Drosophila melanogaster: one gene and its partners. The protein of the gene in region 4 interacts with the protein of the main gene of each other region in a pairwise test. Each region holds a gene or a part of one and is shown on either strand. Other genes may lie near its edges. The genes, in order: Tapdelta, CG17826, CG31775 and SdhD.

Region 1 (4,585 bases), on a different chromosome or scaffold from region 4:
GGAGGTTCGTTTATGTTGCCAACAAACAATCAACAAAATCGCAACGTTGGCAAGGAGTCGCCTGTTATGCTGGCTCAGGCTCTCCTTACAGTTCGGTTCTTTGTTCCATTTCCTGCTCACACCCACACGTCAGACAACCATCCACCGAAGCACACTGAAAGAAATTGGAGTGATCTAGGAAAAATTAAAAAAGGTAATGTCCCTTACAAATGAGCTATTATACTCGATTAGTAAATGTATCCTGTTAATAATTGGTTCGTTTTTTATATGAAAAACTTTTAAAAACTTAGGTTTATTGTAATATTTATTTTTGCGAGTTGTTGAAAAACTCCCAAAATTAAAATATTGTAGAATATAGAACGCCAAAATTTGGCTTATACACAATCGCGCCTGCTTCTATGTTTGCAATCTAAGTACCAATTTCGTTTCCGGTCAGAGTGCACTTTATTTTGCCCAATGCATCCGTCGATCCACCTGCCAACCCCGGATCAACCCACTCCTCCCCCAAAGACACGTGCAATTCCGGTGGGTCTGGCAAGTTTTCGACTGCGACTCAATGAACCCGCACGAACTTTTGTTTTCATTTGCGAATCACCCACCGAACGCCTCTTAATCGAAAGGATTACGGCATTTTTGGCAAATATGCAAATCCGGCCATGAATGAATGAATAGTAGCCAAAAAAAAGAAGCAGGAAAAAGGCTGGCAGAGTGGTGAGAAGAGGGGAGGAGGAGGAAGGAGAAATGCGTACAAGTCGCTCAATGTCAGCAAAATGTTAGATGCAAATTCAGTTGTTGCCGGTATTAGTATGAGTATGAGTATCTGTATCTGCGGATGGGCAACCGGATGGGATGGCAAGTGAAAAACTTTCACATTTGTGACAATTTCAAATTCATCAAAGACATGCAAAGTTCGGTGGAAAAGTTCCGTGCGCGGTGGCAATCAAAGGAAAGTAACGAACATAGCAAAATGGAGCCGATTCGAACGGTGGCGGCAAACACAAACACAAAATGGCATAAAACCGTAAACAAAAAAAGCAAAACCAAATCAGGCCCACTTCAAGGTCACATCCGCATACATTCGTATGCCTGTTAGCCAAAGTATTTATACGATAGTATCCGATTTTCCGATTGCCAATAAAATGTACTTAAAACAAAGCTGAAAGCCCCATTCCAGTTGGATGGGCATTAATCACTGCCACCAGTCAATACTCGGTGCTTATGGCCCGACTTTGAAGACTCCCCCAACGATTGGACAGGACTCCCGTTTCCTCTGACACTGCTGCAATTCGAAATCAATTGCAATCGAAGTGCCATAAATATTGGACTTAGTCGTAACCGATCACAGAACGGTACCATAGCAAAACTGTCAGACGAAAACTTATTTTAATTAGAAATGCAGTCGGTACGAAATTACTGTGACTGGAACGGCCTGGACTTTATCTATTGACTTTAAATTAAATAGATACTTACATACATATTTTAAATGAAGTCAGCCCAACGTAAATGTATTGCAAAAGGAATCCCCTCAAAGACGTTTTAGACAAGGAACTTTGGGTATTTGCCTAAGTACAAATTAAGCCACCAATTTGATCAAAGTTCACTTTGATGTTTTTAATATCAGCGCAATAGCGATCTAAAGCAGAATCCTCCAAAGTGATGGATTGCATTCGGTACTCGATCATAGCTGAGCAATTTTTCCTTAAAACATTACAATTTTGTATAAATATAATTTAATAAGAATTTTAGTCTTTTAATCAAAGTAAGACTACAAAAATTTAACCTGTTGGTGAAGAATTCTATTTGTCATTATATTTTTATTTATAAATTTAATTTAATTTATTAATATTTAACTTTAATATAATTGTTTTTTATTTAAAATTCGATATTTTCAAATTATATATTTGAAATTGAAATCGCTAGAAATTGAATTGATATGGGAGGAAATTAAGTCTACATATCTCAATGCCCCTATAATTAGGAAAGATTTATTTTGACAGGACTGACATCATTAGTAATAACTTTATTCCAAATAAAATGAATCCCATATTTTTATATTTTTTATGTATACGCACTTATTTTTAATACTTGTATATACAAATTTTATATGAATTTTATAACATTTACGTATACGTACTAATTGCTATCATATTCGAACGACAAACATTCCCGGAGAAATCTTAACATATAGATGTCATTAGGAAACTACAAAAAACCGCTTTCTAAAACTGTATTTTTAGATATAACAAGTAAAAAATCGGAAAAATTTACCACGGGCTACTAGCTATTTTGTAGCTATTCTCGACTGAGCGTTGCCATCCCTGGTCACGACCAGTGTGACCATCGAACTGGTACGACTTCGGCAATTTTCGTAGCTGTCAAGTGACGTGACGTATGTATGGTGCTGTCGTGGCGTTCGCTTCCAGAGAGAAAGAAAGTCGCAGGTCGCCGAGTTGGATAGCCGTAGAGTTCCGCCTATTCCATTGATTACTAAATAAAAACCACCTCATAACTTGATCAAGATGTCCCGTCAACTGTTCGCCATTTGCCTGATTGCCGCCGTTTGTGCGTCCGGCGTCTACGGTAGCTGCAAGGCCACCGTGAGCTCTTTCAGCACCCAGGATGCCACGATTCTGACCCAGCTGGCCCATGTGGGCGAGTTCACGCTGCAGTGCAGCGGAGCCGCTCCCGCCAGCCTGTTCGCCGAGTTCCCCTGCGGCAAGGTGGTGCCGGTGGCCAAGGTGGGCGACAACAAGTACCAGGTGAGCCAGTAGTAGCCCCGTCAAGTTTTGTGCAAAGGCTAATCTCTGTTCTGCACTAGGTGAGCTGGGTGGAGGATATCAAGCAGGGCAGCAGCGGCAATGTTCAGGTGCGTCTCTTCGACGAGGATGGCTATGCCAATGTGCGCAAGGCCCAGCGGGATGGCGACAAGGTTTCATCGGTGAAGTCGCTGCTCGACATTTCCGTGCCCACCAAGGGTGCCTACAAGGGTCCCTGGATCAAGGCTGAGCTTTTGGCCGCCTTCTTGGTCGGCGGATTCGCATACTTCGCCTTCACCACCAAGGGCAAGGTGCAGTCCTAAGTAGAGGATGCCTTCGTCATCGAGATTTTGAATGAAATTCATTCGCACTAAAGTCATGTACCATCAAATTGCCGGGTCCCGGAGATTTTTCCACATTTTGTACACCTAAGCATCGGATCACCCGCCGCTCCAAAATAAACTGATTGAAAGACCAACCGAAGGAACCTAGTTGAGATTAATTTAATTTTAATTTAGAGATAACTTGTACGAATACGCTTAAACCTGGCCCGTGGAGGGCGCTCCATTCATGGTCGCCTCCTCGTCGGAGGAGATGTCTATCATGCTCTCCACACGCGACGGCGACATCACATACACAAAGTGCTCCGTGGAGCCCTCGGGGCCGACTGGCGGCGGGGGTATGACCACGGAGCCGTCCTGCGGCGGCGGTGGCGGAGTATCTATGCTGCAGTACTTGAGATTCCCAGCTCCTCCTCCGCCTGAATCATCCGGCGGTGGCGCTCCACCGTTGCAATCAAAGTTCTCCAGCTCTAGCTCCAAATCACTGACGATTCGCATGCAACGCATCTTGGCGAGCGACTGGAATTTCATGGGCATAGCTCGCACCTGCCGCGCCAGACTCAAGAAGAAAAGAGTGTTTGCGTCAAGTTCTCTGTTGGCCTGTAGCACGGCAGAGACGTCCCAATCGCTCGGAAAACGCGGATCGCAAATCTTACGCGTTTTGGCGGGCGACGGCTGTTGTTGCTGTTGAATTTGTGGCATTTGCATTGACTGCTGCTGCTGCGTTTGTACGGAATTCCCTCCGGAGCAACTTAGGTTGATGGCCGTGGTTTGCGGCGAAGGTTGTACCCTTCGCACCTTGGAGGCTGGTGGCGCTGGCGGCGGCGGCGGAGGAGTGGGATTACCCATGGGTAAGCTCGGGCAGCTGCCGTTCAAACGATTGGCGTTCTGCACTTGGTTGGCCAGGTTCTGGAACAATCCCAAAGGTGCTCCAGCTGCCGCAGCCGCTGTCAGTTCCTTCTTGAAGTTGTCCGCCGCCGCAAAGAGATGCGGCTCGATGATCAGACAACCGACATTGCTGTTGGTTGCGCTGCCGGTGCTGCAACCAGGCGGCGTGATCGTAGGTGGCAGGGGAAGACCAGCAGCCACTGCCGCCGCCTTGAGCGTGGCTAGCGGGAACATCTGCTGGGCCAGTCCGCTCACGCCCAAGCCCATGGGCAGATGGTTAGCCAGAGAGGCCAGGGCATTTGCATTGGCCTTGCTGACAGCAGCAGCTGCGGCAGCGACTGAGGATGCGGGTGAGATGGGCAGGGGCAAGACTACGGCGGAATTACTGCCACTGGTGGCAGGTGGAGTCATCGAACTGAGCGGTGCCACTGCAGCACAGTTTAGACTTCCGGTTGCACTGCCGTTGCTATTGCTGTTGTGGATTTGCGGTCCCACGGACCCAGAACCTCCTCCTGTTCCGCCCAAATTGCTGCCTGGAGAGATCATATTCGGGGGCGTGGTCGCGCCCAAACTTGATGTTATGCCGGACGCCGAAGTACT
Region 2 (5,931 bases), on a different chromosome or scaffold from region 4:
TGGGCACACGTTCATATGTAGGAATGCCACCTTTGATCAGACGTTACATATGTTTTATATGAACTCTTATCAATTCTGAGTAAGAAAATAAAGATAGTACTCATATTCGAGTAACTCTATCATATGAACAGTACAATCAGATTCTAGCATTTAACATACTAGCAAATCATGCAAATTACTTATAAATGCTACTCTATAAAAACGCAGTTCAATGAATGGAAAGTTTCAGTTCGATAAAACACTCGATAGCATCACACAAAATGAAGCTATTTGGACTGCTCTGCGTAATGTTAGTACTTCAAGAAAGTACTCTGGCTGTTGTACAAGTATGTTGGAAAACATTCTTAAAAGTATGAAAAATTAGAATGTTCACTTTCACAGAACGGATTTGCGTTCAAGACGTCCTTATGCGAGGGTAAAAATGGTGGACTCTTGCCCATGTTTGGATCCTGTAAAGGATATTACGTGTGTGCTGATGGAAACGCTGTGACCGGAACTTGTGAAAAGAATACGTTGTTTAATCCTTTAACGTTGCACTGCGATGATCCTGACAATGTGGATTGCATTTTCGATGGCAAGGATAATATTGTTGACGACACGTCAAGTTCTGAAAGCGACGAAGACGATGATGAGGAAATGGCCAAAACTGATCCTCCCGTTACTGTCAAAGCGACGAAAAAGCCGCGTCCTACAACCCTTGACAAAATGTGTGCTGGCAAGAAGGATGGAGTGATGCTTACAAAGAACGGGTCCTGCCAGGAATATTATGTCTGCAAAGCAAAAAAGCCCCATCTGCGCTCTTGTCCTGACAAACAACATTTTAGTCCAACTCGTCGCATTTGCATGAAGGCCTCAGAAGCCAAGTGTTCGGGTGGAACCCGAGAAAATAAAGAATCAGATGGTCCTGCCACCACGGGAGGAGTGTGTTCAGATGAAAAGGAAAACTCTCTTGTTGCTCATCGCAGCGATTGTGGCAAGTTTATGCTCTGCAGCAACATGATGTTTTTGGTAATGGACTGCCCAACTGGCCTGCATTTCAATATAGCCACATCACGATGCGATTATCCCAAAATTGCAAAATGCCAGACGAAGCTAAATGAAAGCAAATCCAAGTCAAAGAAACCTGTGCGCAAGTCAAAAAAACGTCGATTCTAACTATATTTTTTTAAGACCCCAATAAAGTGCTTGAATTATAATAATTTTTAATAGTCCAAAGCCTAAACAGAGAAAATATAGCCACATCATATAGTACTAAAAATAAGGGGAATATTTTCTATTCTCTGCTTAGAATAAGTAGTTTTTATCTATAGAAAAACGAAAATCTTTTCGTTTAATACTCTGCTTTAAATATTGTTTATTGAAACCACTTAGCACTTAACATTATCGGGCCAATCGCAGGATTTGACCTGCAAATTGAACAAAAGTCCAGAGGAACAAGTGAAGTTCACCTCACACTCGCACTGGCAGACTACATAATTAGAACTACAATCTCCGCTGGCATCGGCGAACATGGTACCATCCCGCTGGCCAACGCATCGTCCGTGGCTCTCGCAATAAGTTCCCGAGGGTCCGGCAATCGGACCACTTGGCGGTGCAGATCCATCGTCGCATTGAACATTTTCGGGATAATCGCACTGCTCTATTATTGAATTGTATTGCAGGTTGTTGGAGCACCGCTGCTCATATTTGTTACCATTTACGCACTGGTAGAAGGCGGAGCAATTTTTCTCCACGGGCCAGATGGAATTGTTGGGCACATCGCAGCAGTCGGGATCGCAGGTTTTGGGAATGCACACATTCTCTGTGTCGACCTCGCATTCCTTCAGTGTGGTATTGAAGAACTGCGTAGCGGAGCACTTCCTGGCCACAAAGACTCCGTTTATGCACTGTAGGTATCCGGCGCAGTCCGCAGGATTCACCTTAACCTCATTCTCAGTGCATGTCGTTCCATTTCCGTTGCACTGACCATTATCCACATCGCAGACCTCTGACTGGCTGTTCCAGTAGTAACCACTGTCGCAGGACTTGGTCACATACTTGCCACCGGAACAGATCTCATACATGGTACAGTCGGCCAAGGGTTTTGTAGATCCCTCTTTACAATTGACACATATTCCCTCGTCGTCTTGTACACAAGTCTCCAGTGTGGCATTGAAGTAAGCTCCGTCGGCGCACTGCTTGCTCACCCAGTTACCGTTCGAGCAAGCCAAGTAGCCTGCGCAATTGGTGGGGTCCACCTTAAGTTCGCCATCAGTGCATGTCGTTCCATTTCCATTGCACTGACCATTATCCACATCGCAGACCTCTGATTGGCTGTTCCAGTAGTAACCACTGTCGCAGGACTTGGTCACATACTTGCCACCGGAACAGATCTCATACATGGTACAGTCGGCCAAGGGTTTTGTAGATCCCTCTTTACAATTGACACATATTCCCTCGTCGTCTTGTACACAAGTCTCCAGTGTGGCATTGAAGTAAGCTCCGTCGGCGCACTGCTTGCTCACCCAGTTACCGTTCGAGCAAGCCAAGTAGCCTGCGCAATTGGTGGGGTCCACCTTAAGTTCGCCATCAGTGCATGTCGTTCCATTTCCATTGCACTGACCATTATCCACATCGCAGACCTCTGATTGGCTGTTCCAGTAGTAACCACTGTCGCAGGACTTGGTCACATACTTGCCACCGGAACAGATCTCATACATGGTACAGTCGGCCAAGGGTTTTGTAGATCCCTCTTTACAATTGACACATATTCCCTCGTCGTCTTGTACACAAGTCTCCAGAGTGACATTGAAGTAAGCTCCGTCGGCGCACTGCTTGCTCACCCAGTTACCGTTCGAGCAAGCCAAGTAGCCTGCGCAATTGGTGGGGTCCACCTTAAGTTCGCCATCAGTGCATGTCGTTCCATTTCCATTGCACTGACCATTATCCACATCGCAGACCTCTGATTGGCTGTTCCAGTAGTAACCACTGTCGCAGGACTTGGTCACATACTTGCCACCGGAACAGATCTCATACATGGTACAGTCGGCCAAGGGTTTTGTAGATCCCTCTTTACAATTGACGCATATTCCCTCGTCGTCTTGTACACAAGTCTCCAGTATGGCATTGAAGTAAGCTCCGTCAGCGCACTGCTTGCTCACCCAGTTACCGTTCGAGCAAGCCAAGTAGCCTGCGCAATTGGTGGGGTCCACCTTAAGTTCGCCATCAGTGCATGTCGTTCCATTTCCGTTGCACACGCCGCAGGTATCTTCAACGCACCGATTTAGGGTCGAATTGAAGTAATCGCCATCTGGACAGGTCAGGATCACTATGATTCCGTCCACGCACTCTAAATAGCCGGCACAGTCATCTGGATTCGGTGTAATTTCTCCATCCACACAGGTTGGAGGTCTGCATTGACCATCATCCACGACACAGATATTTAACTCCGAATTCCAATAGGATCCGCTTGCACACGACTTGGATACAAATTCGCCGTGACAGCAGATCAGATACTTGGTACAATCATCCGCATCCACTTTTGTGTCGCCCTCCGAGCAGCACACAGCACTTGACGATCCCATAAAGAGGGAAATTATTAGGCACAGGGCCACTCCTGGGTAAAAACCGCGGATCAACAATCATCCTCCCAATTATCATTGCTCCGTCCTTACCATAGTGTTTAGTTCTGGATTGGGCCATCTTTGCACTCTGCGTATCGAATGCTCACTGATGAATCTTCGCTCGAAGATATCGCCTTTTATATTTACCGGCAATTAAAATAATTGAATGTCTCTTCCTGCATCAGAGCATGTGGCGGTGATAATGTCGAAACATCCGTGATACTATCAGCATATATATACAGTAGTAATACAAGCAATCGATATTGTCACTATTTATAAAACTCAGCGGTTCATTGTGAATCCGCGAAATCAAAGAGTCCAAAAGAAATTATTCTTCAGTTGCTATAAGATGCTCATATATGAGAAGTCTTAACGATCGATTGAAATTGAAATTTCAATGCGCCATAGTGCATATATGTATAAAGAAGAACAACTACTGATAGGTACTTACCTATGTGAACTAACTATTTTGAAGCTTTATATTGTGATAGCAGTGGTTGGACCAGCTACAAATTCCTACAGGAAACATACCCCTTCTTTATTAAAAAAAAAAAAATGGGTATTTATGTTCGATAAGCTCTTGCCAATCTCATTGAGTGCCGACACCTGTTGGCATATTCCCGCCACAAAACTGATTAAAATGATTTACTGATCCAATGTTTCATTAATAAATGGGCAGATTAGGCTACATCCTAGTAGTAGTAGTTGCTTTGATAATCACTTTCTTTATTTGCCAATCGGTCATTTAAAGAGTGCAGGTCACTTGGTTCTTATAATTGCAGGTCTGCAAGCTTTCGTCCCAATACAAGCCATCGGCGCACTCCATCTCGACCTCGCATTCACACTGGCAGACGACGTAATTGCTACAATTTGTGGTGGACTTTAAGTAGGTACCCTCACGTTGTCCCATGCAACGGCCATTACTCTCGCAGGCGATTCCCGAAGGTCCTGCATTGGGACCAGAGGGTGGGGTATACTCCCACGGGCAAACATAGTCCTGGGGGTATTCACATTCTTCGGTATTTGGGTTGTAGACCAAGTTGTTCGGACAATATTGCTCGACGGCGCAGTTGAAGTTACACTTGTAGAACATGTTGCACTTGCCTTCCACCGGAAAGAGTTCTCCCTCCGGCTGGTTTTGGCACACGGTGCTGGTGGTATTGCACTCCACCTTGGGCACATAGTTTTCAGGATAGTCGCACTGGTCTAAGGTGGCGTTGTAGACGAGGTCACCGTAACATTGAACCGCCGAGGAACCAATTGCGGATTTAGTGTCCTTAATCCAATCACACACTTGGGCCGTCTCGTTGAACTTCAGACCCTCGGAACAGGGCATCGCAATGGGGCACTGGCATTGGCAGACGAAGAATCCATTCGAATTGGGGTCCGCAATCATGTAGCCATCCCTCTTACCAGCGCATTCGCCCTGACTGGAGCAGGTGGTGCCCGATGGTCCCTCGATCTCAGTGGAGCCATCGGCGGTGGGGGTACAGTCCACATTCCACCAGTAATCGCAATCGTCTATCGCCGTGTTGAAGTACAGACCGGAGGGACACTGGAATTCCTCGGCACAACCATTGTTGCATTGGATGAACCTCACGCAGATCCCGGGCATATCTATATAGGTGCCAGTTTTCTGATTAACGCAATCCGTGCGGGAACTTTTGCAATACGAGGGCACCACACTTGGACTCGAAGGCGTGGTGTTGGAGGAGTTGTTGGGGTCATCGAAATCCGTTGTAGCATCCGTCGGCTCCGTGGAATCGGAGGGTTCCGTGGCTGAAGTGGTGGTATCCGGATCGCAGTCCTCGGTGACCGCCGTGGTAGTTTCATCGATATCGTCAATGGGATCCTGGCACTCCTCAGCACAGCAATCGCAGGTACACTGATCATCCACTTCGGCAAAGGCCGAGAGTCCCAAGCAATTAGCTCGCCACTGGAAGTCGCACTCCCTCAGCTCCCGATTGAAATGGAGTCCACGAGGGCAGCTACCGATAATGGAAACCTCTCCCTTCAGACAAACGACAAATCGGGAACAGTGGGTGGCCAACGGAAGTCTAGTGCCATCTTCCTGATTTTGGCACACATTCGTCAACTGGGCTACCACAGTTTGAAGACCTCCGATAAGCAGCAGAACGGTCCAGAGACCTAGGATACGGACCCGAAATAAGTTACTAGCCTTGGGTAGCCAACTCTTCACCAGCTTACCCCCAAAATCGATTGGTCGCATTCTTCCGAGATCACCTTTAAAGTAGTCCGAATTTCGCGAACGACTAAGTGGCAAACCAGGCCGTGTAGCACCATTTAACTGCCATGAGTGCGCCAAATC
Region 3 (4,316 bases), on a different chromosome or scaffold from region 4:
GGGTAAATATTCGGCGTAGTGGCGGTGTGTCGGGCTCTAGGTAATTGGCGTGATCGATGTGGTTGTGCAGGAGATGTTTGGAAAGGTGGCGTATGGCCACCAGTTCGGCGGCCGACAGTCCGGCGCACATGGGGCAGACCACATATTCATTGGACACCCGATGTTGAACGTAAACATGTTCGATGAACCGCTTCGCTGTGAGCGCAAGTAGGCCGCAATGTGGACAGGTGAAGCAATTGGACAGGTGGACCAGCTCTGGGATTTCGCCGTAAAGCAGCGGAACCAGATCGTCCGAGTCAGGGAACAATTGCATGGGATGATTGGCGCGATGCTCTTCCGTTTCTATCTGATGATCGTAGCATATGTCACATAGGTTATAGTTCACGCAGCGCAAACACCGGAAGCGGCTACCCTGGAAGATCGTCATTTGACAGCCGTTGCAGCAAATGTTGCGGTGACCCATCCTCGATCCTTGTGCTAACTTCGTTCTTAGCGAATATACCTAAACTCTGGTCGAAAAAACGGGCAAAAGGGTTCTAAATTTTAACAAATCGAATCTATACAATGACATGATTTTCATAGATGTAAAATATTTCGGGGCGTTTGGTAATAACATATAATTCTACTTTTAAAACTATTTTTCAACCTAAATGTATCAAACTTACTCAAGCTTTCTACATATTTCCTTTGCCTCTTTTAAACAAATGTTTATTTTTGGAACCTTAAGTACAGCGAAAAAAAAGTTAAATAAACATGCACTGTACTATTTTGTCCGGTGAGCACAGCTATCTACGTGACAAATAACGATAATGCAATTTGTTTTCCAAACCTATATGAAACGAGAAATAAGCCCCCATTATTGATAAGGAACTAAATCTTTTATCTAAATCTTTTGACAGTAGAAGATAACTCAAAGGATATTTTATATTTGCTCAAATCAGAATGCAGTTATCGAAAATTAAACTTCCCTTGAGCTGAAAATTTAGCTTGAATTTATAATTATACATATGTCCAAATGTAATACAGCTTCAGTGTGTGTACACATAAAATTCAAAACCCAAAAAATCCACAAAAATTGCTATTTTAGTAGGTATTGCGTTGAACACATCGGTTCTAAATGTGGCTGTTGTGCCATTAGTTACTCTTCTGTCTCTGTCTCGGTTTGAATCTCCATCTCGCTCTCTTCTTTTTAATTTTCCCGACTTGGTGCGCGGCAGTTGTAATAGAAGTTTTCCGGCTTCATGCACCTCCGCCCTTGCACCACCCCCTTTCGGCGACCATTGTGGTGGATTCAGTACACTCTTAAAAATAAGATGTTTAATAAACATATAGCAGGTGGAAGCCGAATGGAGCGATTTGCACCAAAACAAAGTAATAAAAACAAAATTTTCTTATTTTTTGCTTATTATTTCCTATCGAAATCTATATACCCCAAGCTGTGATTATTAGATTAAGCGTCTGCGATGAGGTAGCAAAATTCTAGCACTGCATTAACAGAGCTGATTTCTGATCAGGGGTTGAGGACCTTTAGCCTGATCTTTCTTCTTGTTAATTTGTTTTGCTTATTTTGGAGCTGATTAGCTATATACCGATTAAAAGCTTTTCAATTGCCACTAAAAAAAAAGTATAAGAAACGGCGAAGACTTTTTAGCGCTGCATTTAAATTCACAAGCTTAACAGTATTCTTTTAGGCTGAATTTGCTCTCAAAAAAAGTACAATTGGTTTGGAAAATTTTAAATGTTTTTGAATGTAACCAAACACAGCGAAAAAAAATACAAATAATATTTCTTTAAAAAAAAGGATGTAAAGAAATAAACTAGTCTTATTAGTTTAATAAATACAATTTTTTAAGACACATAATTTCTATGTTTTTATAGACGGTACTTGTGGAGTAATTGAGTATACCAAATTCTTTAAAAAGTCTGTGGGAGTTCGAAGAAGGCGTTGCCGAACCTTTACCTATACAGAATATATATATTCTTCACCAGCATCACCAGCGGAGTCTATCTAGCCGTATTCGTTTGGCCATCTGTCTGTAAGCCTGTCTGTATGAACTGAATGAGATTCAGACCTCTAAATAGTTCCAATTCTTTCAGAACCTGTGCCAACAACACTCTAGATTCTTCATTGATTTCATCTAGTCTTGTCTTGTAAATATCTTAGTTCTTCTATTAGCTAAGAAATGGGTATCTGATAATCGAGGAATGCGACTATAGTGGTCTAACCTGTTAAGCGCTAAAATTCAAAGACATAACATAATTATACGTATGTATAAAAAATTAATCCATGATTACAAGGATTTCATACTTAATTATCCCTCCTCATTTCGAAAGTCTAATGATAACCCAGAAAAGCAAACAAGAACATTTGTTGCCGTAACACGTTTGTGATGCGTGAAAACGGAACATAAATGATCTAAAGTAATCTCAAACAACGTCTTCTTCTAAGTCGCCCTTAGTTTTTCTTAGCAACTGTTGCGGACTTATTAGATTAGGCTCGACTTCCCAGATAAGATTGATGTTGAAGGGTTCCCCCCGTTGAGCATAGGCATTGATACAGTGCTCAAATATTAATTTCCCAGACGTCTGGAAATTTTTTTCGTATTTTTGTTGGGTTAATTGTACTTGATTTTGTCAGAACATTGATAATACTTCGGCGCGTGACGACATGATGAGATTGCAGGAGAGTATAAAAGATCGGAGGCGTCCAAAAATTTTATTCACATTAGCAAGACTAACCGAAGTATCAGCACCATGAAGTTTTTGGTACGTTTTACATATACGCTTCAAAGAAAAACCTTTAAGAACTAAGTTGATTTTAATATTGTTACAGATCCTCTTCATTGCCCTATTCGCCGCGGCCGCTGCCCTACCTCAGTTTGGATTCGGCGGTGGATTCGGTGATCAGCAGCAGCAGCAGCAAGGAGGATTTGGAGGTGGATTTGGTGATCAGCAGCAGCAGCAAGGAGGATTTGGCGGTGGATTCGGAGGTGGATTCGGTGATCAGCAGCAGCAGCAGCAAGGAGGATTTGGAGGTGGATTCGGAGGTGGATTCGGTGATCAGCAGCAGCAACAGCAACAAGGCTGGTAAAAACCAATTCATAGCACCGTCTTAACGCAGATACCTCAATAAAAATATGACACCTTTATGATAAAAAAACAATTGGAATTTTTTACTTTATCGTTCTCGAAAATTTATGAGTTTTATGAAAATAAATTTATATTTATTATTCATTTATATTTATTAAATAGTGCCCAGAAATAAATACACTTAACATAAGGGACAACGGGAAATATCTTCTCTTTCAGATGTTCAAATGGTTTTACTTAAAACATTGTAAATATAAATAAAAGCCAAAATATAAAAGCCATATTATAAATATAAGCCAAATTTTCACAAAAATTTTGTTTTTCTTTGAAATATGTAACGCAACTAAAAAGCGGATTCAACATGATTGAAAAAACAGATACAATTTCGAGTATCCTAATCAATGGCCTCCTCAGCAGCCACCCTTTTGTGCTCCTCGATCTGCACCTTGTCCAGATCGACTCCATCTTTTTTGGCTGCCCGTATCTCGCCTTCCCCCTCCGATCCGTCTAGCTGGTTGGTCTGCCAAACTCCTGTCCACGGCAGTGACATCACTGACATGACCTTGACCAGACTGCTATGGTTTTCCTGGTCTAGATCACTCTCCCCATTTCCTTCCCGTATTCGTCTGTCTCCATCCGGCAACTGCAACTCCTCGCAGCACAGCATGGAAATCAGCAAGTGCTCAACGAAGAGGGTTCGCCGCAGCCTTTGAGATTCGTCCGTATCGTGGCACTGCACTTTTTGCTGTGCAATCCACTGAAGTAGAACATATCTGTCGTCGTCGTGTTCGAATGGCCCCCCGGAACTCAAGCCTAACGCCAGGGACTCTGAATTGGCTGCCTCCTCTGGAGGATCATTGTTGCTTAGGAGCTGGGGATCGGAGCTCACACGTCCAGTTGACAGCCATACGGATATATCGAATATCCTTGAATTCGGAGTTGTTTGCAACTGCGATTGGCGGTGGTGGCGCATGTGATTACGGGTAAATATTCGGCGTAGTGGCGGTGTGTCGGGCTCTAGGTAATTGGCGTGATCGATGTGGTTGTGCAGGAGATGTTTGGAAAGGTGGCGTATGGCCACCAGTTCGGCGGCCGACAGTCCGGCGCACATGGGGCAGACCACATATTCATTGGACACCCGATGTTGAACGTAAACATGTTCGATGAACCGCTTCGCTGTGAGCGCAAGTAGGCCGCAATGTGGACAGGTGAAGCAATTGGACAGG
Region 4 (4,853 bases):
ATTTGTGTTTGTTGCGTGTTTTGCTATTGTTTCTGACTAAAACCGCCTTTGGTTGCTTCCATTTGAAAGTAAATTGTAATAAATATGTTTAGTTGTTAGTTCTGAGGACACCAAACACGCAATGCATTATTACCTGGCTGCTATCTGCCTGGTGGGCTTAATGGGCTCAGGTCAGTGATTCGATTCCCAAGCCACACCCAAGGCTCCAAGTGAATCATGTGAATTGGCCACCCGAAACTAAAGCCCATCCATTTTACAGCCCTCGGTCAGTACAACCTGGTGCAGAAGGACAACTGCATCATTCCAAAGATCCTGCAGGGATCGTGGTTCTCGTGGGAAACGGGCCTGCCCACGCTGACGGTGATCGACGCCACCTCGATGTCCAGCCGAGGCTACTGCATCAACTACATGCGCCACAAGGGCGACGAGTACTCATTTGTCTTCAAGGAGCGATCCAAGGACTGCTATCACTGTGTCAGGACCATCATCCGCACCCTTAATGTGTTCGAAAAGTTTGAGGGGCCCTGCGTGGGCATACCCGCTGGACAGGAACCCACCGTGGACTATGTGTGTCGTGGTGTTAAGGATGACCAGCAGTTGATAACGCTCTTTAACGAGAACTTTGTGCCCATCAACTGCCGATCGTCGCTGGAGGGAGTGTGGCATTTTACGTACCAGGTAAGATCAAAATAGATTCATAGATCACATAATTTGCACATGGTGCGGTTTAGTTAAGGGTCTAGAAACATATCCATTTTATGTTGATTAGTGATCTTGATTTGAACTTTTATTATAGAACCGATTCCGATTCACGGGCGTATGCGATAAGCCCGACGCTCGCATTCAGTCCTGTCAAACGGCAGGAACGCAGTTCCTCATCCAGAACCAGAAGTTCAACGTCACCTATCAGCAGTGCGAGGGTATGGAGGGCACATTCACCGGCACCGTGGAGTTCAGCTGCCTGGGCGATTGGTTTGTGGGCAAGAACCACTACTTTGCCGTGGCCAACACAAAGGAGTCGCGTAAGGATGAGAAGTACCGCTGCTTCCTTAAGAATCGTGACGATGATCTTTACGTGGGCGTTTCCATTACGGCCGAATGTAACACACTGAAGACGCCAGAAACGTCACCGGAGCGTCTAAAGCTGACGCCAGTGAAGGCTGAGTTTGTGGAACCCGGTTGCACGCTACCACAAAACTTTAGCGGAGAATGGGTGAACACTGCCAACATTGATGCCGATGTCTCGATCAGTGAGACCCACATAAACGAGACGTACTATCCGGATAAAGCTCGATACCGAAAGACAATCTATGTTTGCCGAGAGCGACGGGGTAATCGTGTGATGATGGCTCGCCTCACTGTCGACGGTTGCCAGAAGGATTACGTGTGCTTTGACTTTATGCCCCGCCACCACAACATCATTCGCTACCGCAAGGGTTTGGCTGTGATCAAGGACGATTTTAGTACAGTCTGCTCTTGGGTTCAGTTCCCCAATTCGGAGGCATGGAAATATGATCTGTTTCTTGCTCGAAATCCTGTGCCTGTTCGTTGCCCCGTTGCGGGAAAATTCAACTTTACGCAGCGAGGAGAGCATCCCTTCAGAACGAGGTTTGTAATGTTTTGCAATCGTAGCATGAAACGTATAATTAATGTGTATATTTCACAGAATTCTTGGTGGTGTCACTCTGAGTCCGCGTCCCGATATCCATTGCAAGCAAAACATCTCGGATTTATCGGTTTGCGATACAGATCAAAAGGAATTGGCGGTGGATGAAAACTATTGCCTGTCGGTGGATCACTTGGGTCGTCCCGTTGATATCTACAGTGATCCCGATTACCGCATGAAGTGCATTGGCTTCTGGAAGGAGAACCTCAAGTCCTACCTGATTACGTACGACGATTTGGATCCGCTGTCCAAGTATCGCTGCTGGGTCTATCAGCGTGCCGACCTCAACCGTGTCCTCATGTCGCAGGCTGTGGGCGCATTCTGCAAACTGGAGCAAGATGTGACCTCGTGGAACCACTCGGAGGGCGCTGCCGTAGCCATCGATGCCGTGGAGTACGAAAGGGAGCGTGACGACTGTCCCATGCACTTCGATGACGGATTGAATCCTTGGAAGCCGTCGGATGCCTCCAACATCATATTTGATTGGGACTTTTACCGAGCAGGAGCAGCGACACTAAAATTTCAACTGACTGGCCTCGTTATCGTGGTCTTAGTCCAGGTTAGGAGTTTATTAGCTTAATAATATCAAAAGTATTTTTTAACTATTCCATCCAACGAAATTTACAAAAATTTTACAACCAACATAAAGTCACTTTTAGGAGCAATTGCGTGCCTTAGAATGCGAATTTTAGAAAGTTTTAAGCAAATTTTAAACTTAGTTTGTAAGATCATCACAATTTTTACGTGTAACAGCCATTCCGTCCCAAACGAATCTCAAATGTATTGTGCAAATAATTAAAGCAGTTAAATAAATGCCTTGAACTAAATGTTTTCTTATTATTTATTACACCCTTTAATTGTTTGTTGAGTTCAAAATATTTTACTGGGCTTCCCTTATTATTGTGGGACAATATCTTGACCGCTACTGTTTACCGATAACAAATCGATGACAGCTGACTGCACTAGCCCAGTGCTGTGTAATTTTTTAGACAAATCGGCCCAAACCGAACGGAGCGATAGAGTTTTTATTTTGAGCTGAAAATTCTCAATATTTACACATCCCAACATGTCCCTCTCGTTGCTTCTGCGTGGCGCTGTCCGTTGCAATGGTAAGGACCCACTGGATGGCAAATCGCCTTGTTATTGGACGCAAAACAGCTTTCATTATATAACCAAACCGTTTGTTGGTATCCCAATTAGCCGCAAATCTTGTTAAGTCGGCTCGCATCACTCCCCTGAAGAGCTACTCCACCCTGGTGGCCAATGTCCAGCGGAAGGCGGTGGTCCAGCCCCTGGCCGTGGCCAAGATTGTAGCGGTAAGTGTTTAGAGTTGAAAAATTCAGTGGTGGCTAATCATACTAAATGGTAATCCTCGACTGCTTATGCAGCCCGTCGTGCGCGAGATCTCCGTGAGTGCGCCCCGCATGGCTTCCGCTGGATCCAGCCACACCCTGCTCTGGACTGTGGAGCGAATTGTGTCCGCCGGCCTACTGGCCGTCATTCCAGCTGCCTTCATAGCTCCATCCCAGGTATTGGACGCCCTCATGGCCATCTCTGTCGTCATCCACACCCATTGGTAAGATATCCTTGAGGAAAATTAAACCTTTACTTATATTTTCCTCATTCACCAAACGCAGGGGCGTGGAGGCCATGGTAGTTGACTACATGCGGCCATCTGTCGTTGGAAACGTCCTGCCCAAGGTAGCCCACATTGCGCTGATCATCATCTCGGTGGCCACGCTGGGCGGCCTCTTCTACTTCATCCAAAATGATGTGGGTCTGGCCAATGGTATCAAGCGCTTCTGGGCCATCAAGGGCAAGGATGCCGAGAAGGCTTAAATGTCAAAGGAGCAATCAGTTGATGAACCACGAAACACCAGTTATTTATTCATAGTTTCGCGATAAGCATTAAATAAAGAATTGTAAAAAGTCACAGCTGCACAGAGCGGGTTTTGTAGAAAATTGTATATTCAACAAGAAAATCAGCACTAAAGTAGTTGGGTAACAGGCACCACCTTTGTTACGTATGGTAATCTACTGTAAACAATAAATTTGGGCTATTGTCCAGGTTTGGTCATGATTTCGTCTCCACATTGTTTGTGTAGAATAACCGGAGGGCATCCCATTGTTTGGTGTGCAGCAGAATGTGCGGTCGGCACTTACGCATGTGGTCAACCGCCTGATCCGGAGTCCATCCGTTCTTCTGCAAAGGATAAGTTGTGAGCTTTTTTTTAAGAGCTACGTGCAAATAGATAACCAACCCACCATCATGAGGTAGCATCCCACCAAAGTGGCACTTCGCGTCCTACCAGCCTTGCAGTGCACATAGACAGAACCCACGTTCTCCGGCTGGTAGGAGGAACTTAGGCCACCAATTCTTTGCTTTAGAGGCAGGAACTTGTTTATGAATTCCACGCCGCGGAAGAGCTTTTCTTGATTGGGCGACTCAAAGATGTCGGTGGTGGCCAGCTGCAGGAACTCAATGCCAAGCTTTCGCCACTTCTCCGTGTTGTTGGAGAAGGCGGTCAGCTCATAGTCCTCGTTCATCGACACCACCGCCTTCATGTTCTCCTTTTCAATGAGCTGAGCGGTTAAACAAGGATTTAGAAGGATTTCAGGCTTGGTTCCGTGGGGATACTTACGTCATTGGCCTGGCTGCGAAAGGGCAGTGCTCCCAGTATCACATGCTCATCGATGCGATCGTACCAATTCCTGGCCGATGCCTTTTCCATCAGGACATTGTACAGCAGGGTGGGGTAGAAGGAAACGCGTGCGAACATGGCAGCCTGAAATAACAGGTGTCGACTGGAGGATTAGGAATCGGGGCACAGGTGGCGGTTACTAGGTAGCGAACGTAGCGAACGCAACAGCTGTAACTTTCACCAGCACTAACGGCTGAGCTCGAAGAGTGATTCGCTGTGCGACTCACTCGGTTGAAGCGCGGGTTGGAACTGGTTTCGGTTTTCAATTTGGTTTTGGGCTGTGACTTTTGGGTCTGGGTGTCTGGCACGCAGGTCGCAGCTTCTACTTACACTCATCTCCATGCCGGCTGCTCAGTGGCTGACTTGGATTGGACGAGACAAAAGTTGGTGATTCACACGGGCGGAAATCTTCCTCGTATTCTAATTATTCCCGCTCGTAATTATCACTTTCGATTGCGCGTCAACAGTTCCAATTCAGATTTCCT

What was found.
Region 1: the proteins of SdhD (region 4) and Tapdelta interact in a two-hybrid assay, tested with the Drosophila melanogaster proteins (one large-scale study listed by BioGRID).
Region 2: the proteins of SdhD (region 4) and CG17826 interact in a two-hybrid assay, tested with the Drosophila melanogaster proteins (one large-scale study listed by BioGRID).
Region 3: the proteins of SdhD (region 4) and CG31775 interact in a two-hybrid assay, tested with the Drosophila melanogaster proteins (one large-scale study listed by BioGRID).

The regions. Positions count from the first base shown.
Region 1 is NT_033778.4:11,368,947-11,373,531, reverse strand, and holds Tapdelta (Translocon-associated protein delta), read left to right. Parts: upstream 1-2,196; 5' UTR 2,197-2,519; coding exon 2,520-2,759; intron 2,760-2,818; coding exon 2,819-3,079; 3' UTR 3,080-3,232; downstream 3,233-4,585. Other genes in the region: CG13204 (uncharacterized protein), read right to left, coding at 3,296-4,585.
Region 2 is NT_037436.4:11,947,623-11,953,553, reverse strand, and holds CG17826 (uncharacterized protein), read right to left. Parts: upstream 3,716-5,931; 5' UTR 3,682-3,715; coding exon 3,654-3,681; intron 3,596-3,653; coding exon 1,368-3,595; 3' UTR 1,329-1,367; downstream 1-1,328. Other genes in the region: obst-G (obstructor-G), read left to right, coding at 261-326, 382-1,155; CG7252 (uncharacterized protein), read right to left, coding at 4,348-5,750, 5,811-5,832.
Region 3 is NT_033779.5:14,736,169-14,740,484, reverse strand, and holds CG31775 (uncharacterized protein), read left to right. Parts: upstream 1-2,715; 5' UTR 2,716-2,754; coding exon 2,755-2,766; intron 2,767-2,833; coding exon 2,834-3,091; 3' UTR 3,092-3,395; downstream 3,396-4,316. Other genes in the region: CG42585 (uncharacterized protein), read right to left, coding at 1-463; CG31835 (uncharacterized protein), read right to left, coding at 3,485-4,316.
Region 4 is NT_033777.3:23,758,374-23,763,226, reverse strand, and holds SdhD (succinate dehydrogenase, subunit D), read left to right. Parts: upstream 1-2,626; 5' UTR 2,627-2,732; coding exon 2,733-2,775; intron 2,776-2,866; coding exon 2,867-2,982; intron 2,983-3,054; coding exon 3,055-3,242; intron 3,243-3,303; coding exon 3,304-3,505; 3' UTR 3,506-3,740; downstream 3,741-4,853. Other genes in the region: udt (undicht), read left to right, coding at 122-170, 260-678, 797-1,608, 1,667-2,246; PTPMT1 (protein tyrosine phosphatase, mitochondrial 1), read right to left, coding at 3,741-3,869, 3,932-4,249, 4,309-4,452, 4,699-4,710. UniProt on the Drosophila melanogaster protein: Membrane-anchoring subunit of succinate dehydrogenase (SDH) that is involved in complex II of the mitochondrial electron transport chain and is responsible for transferring electrons from succinate to ubiquinone (coenzyme Q).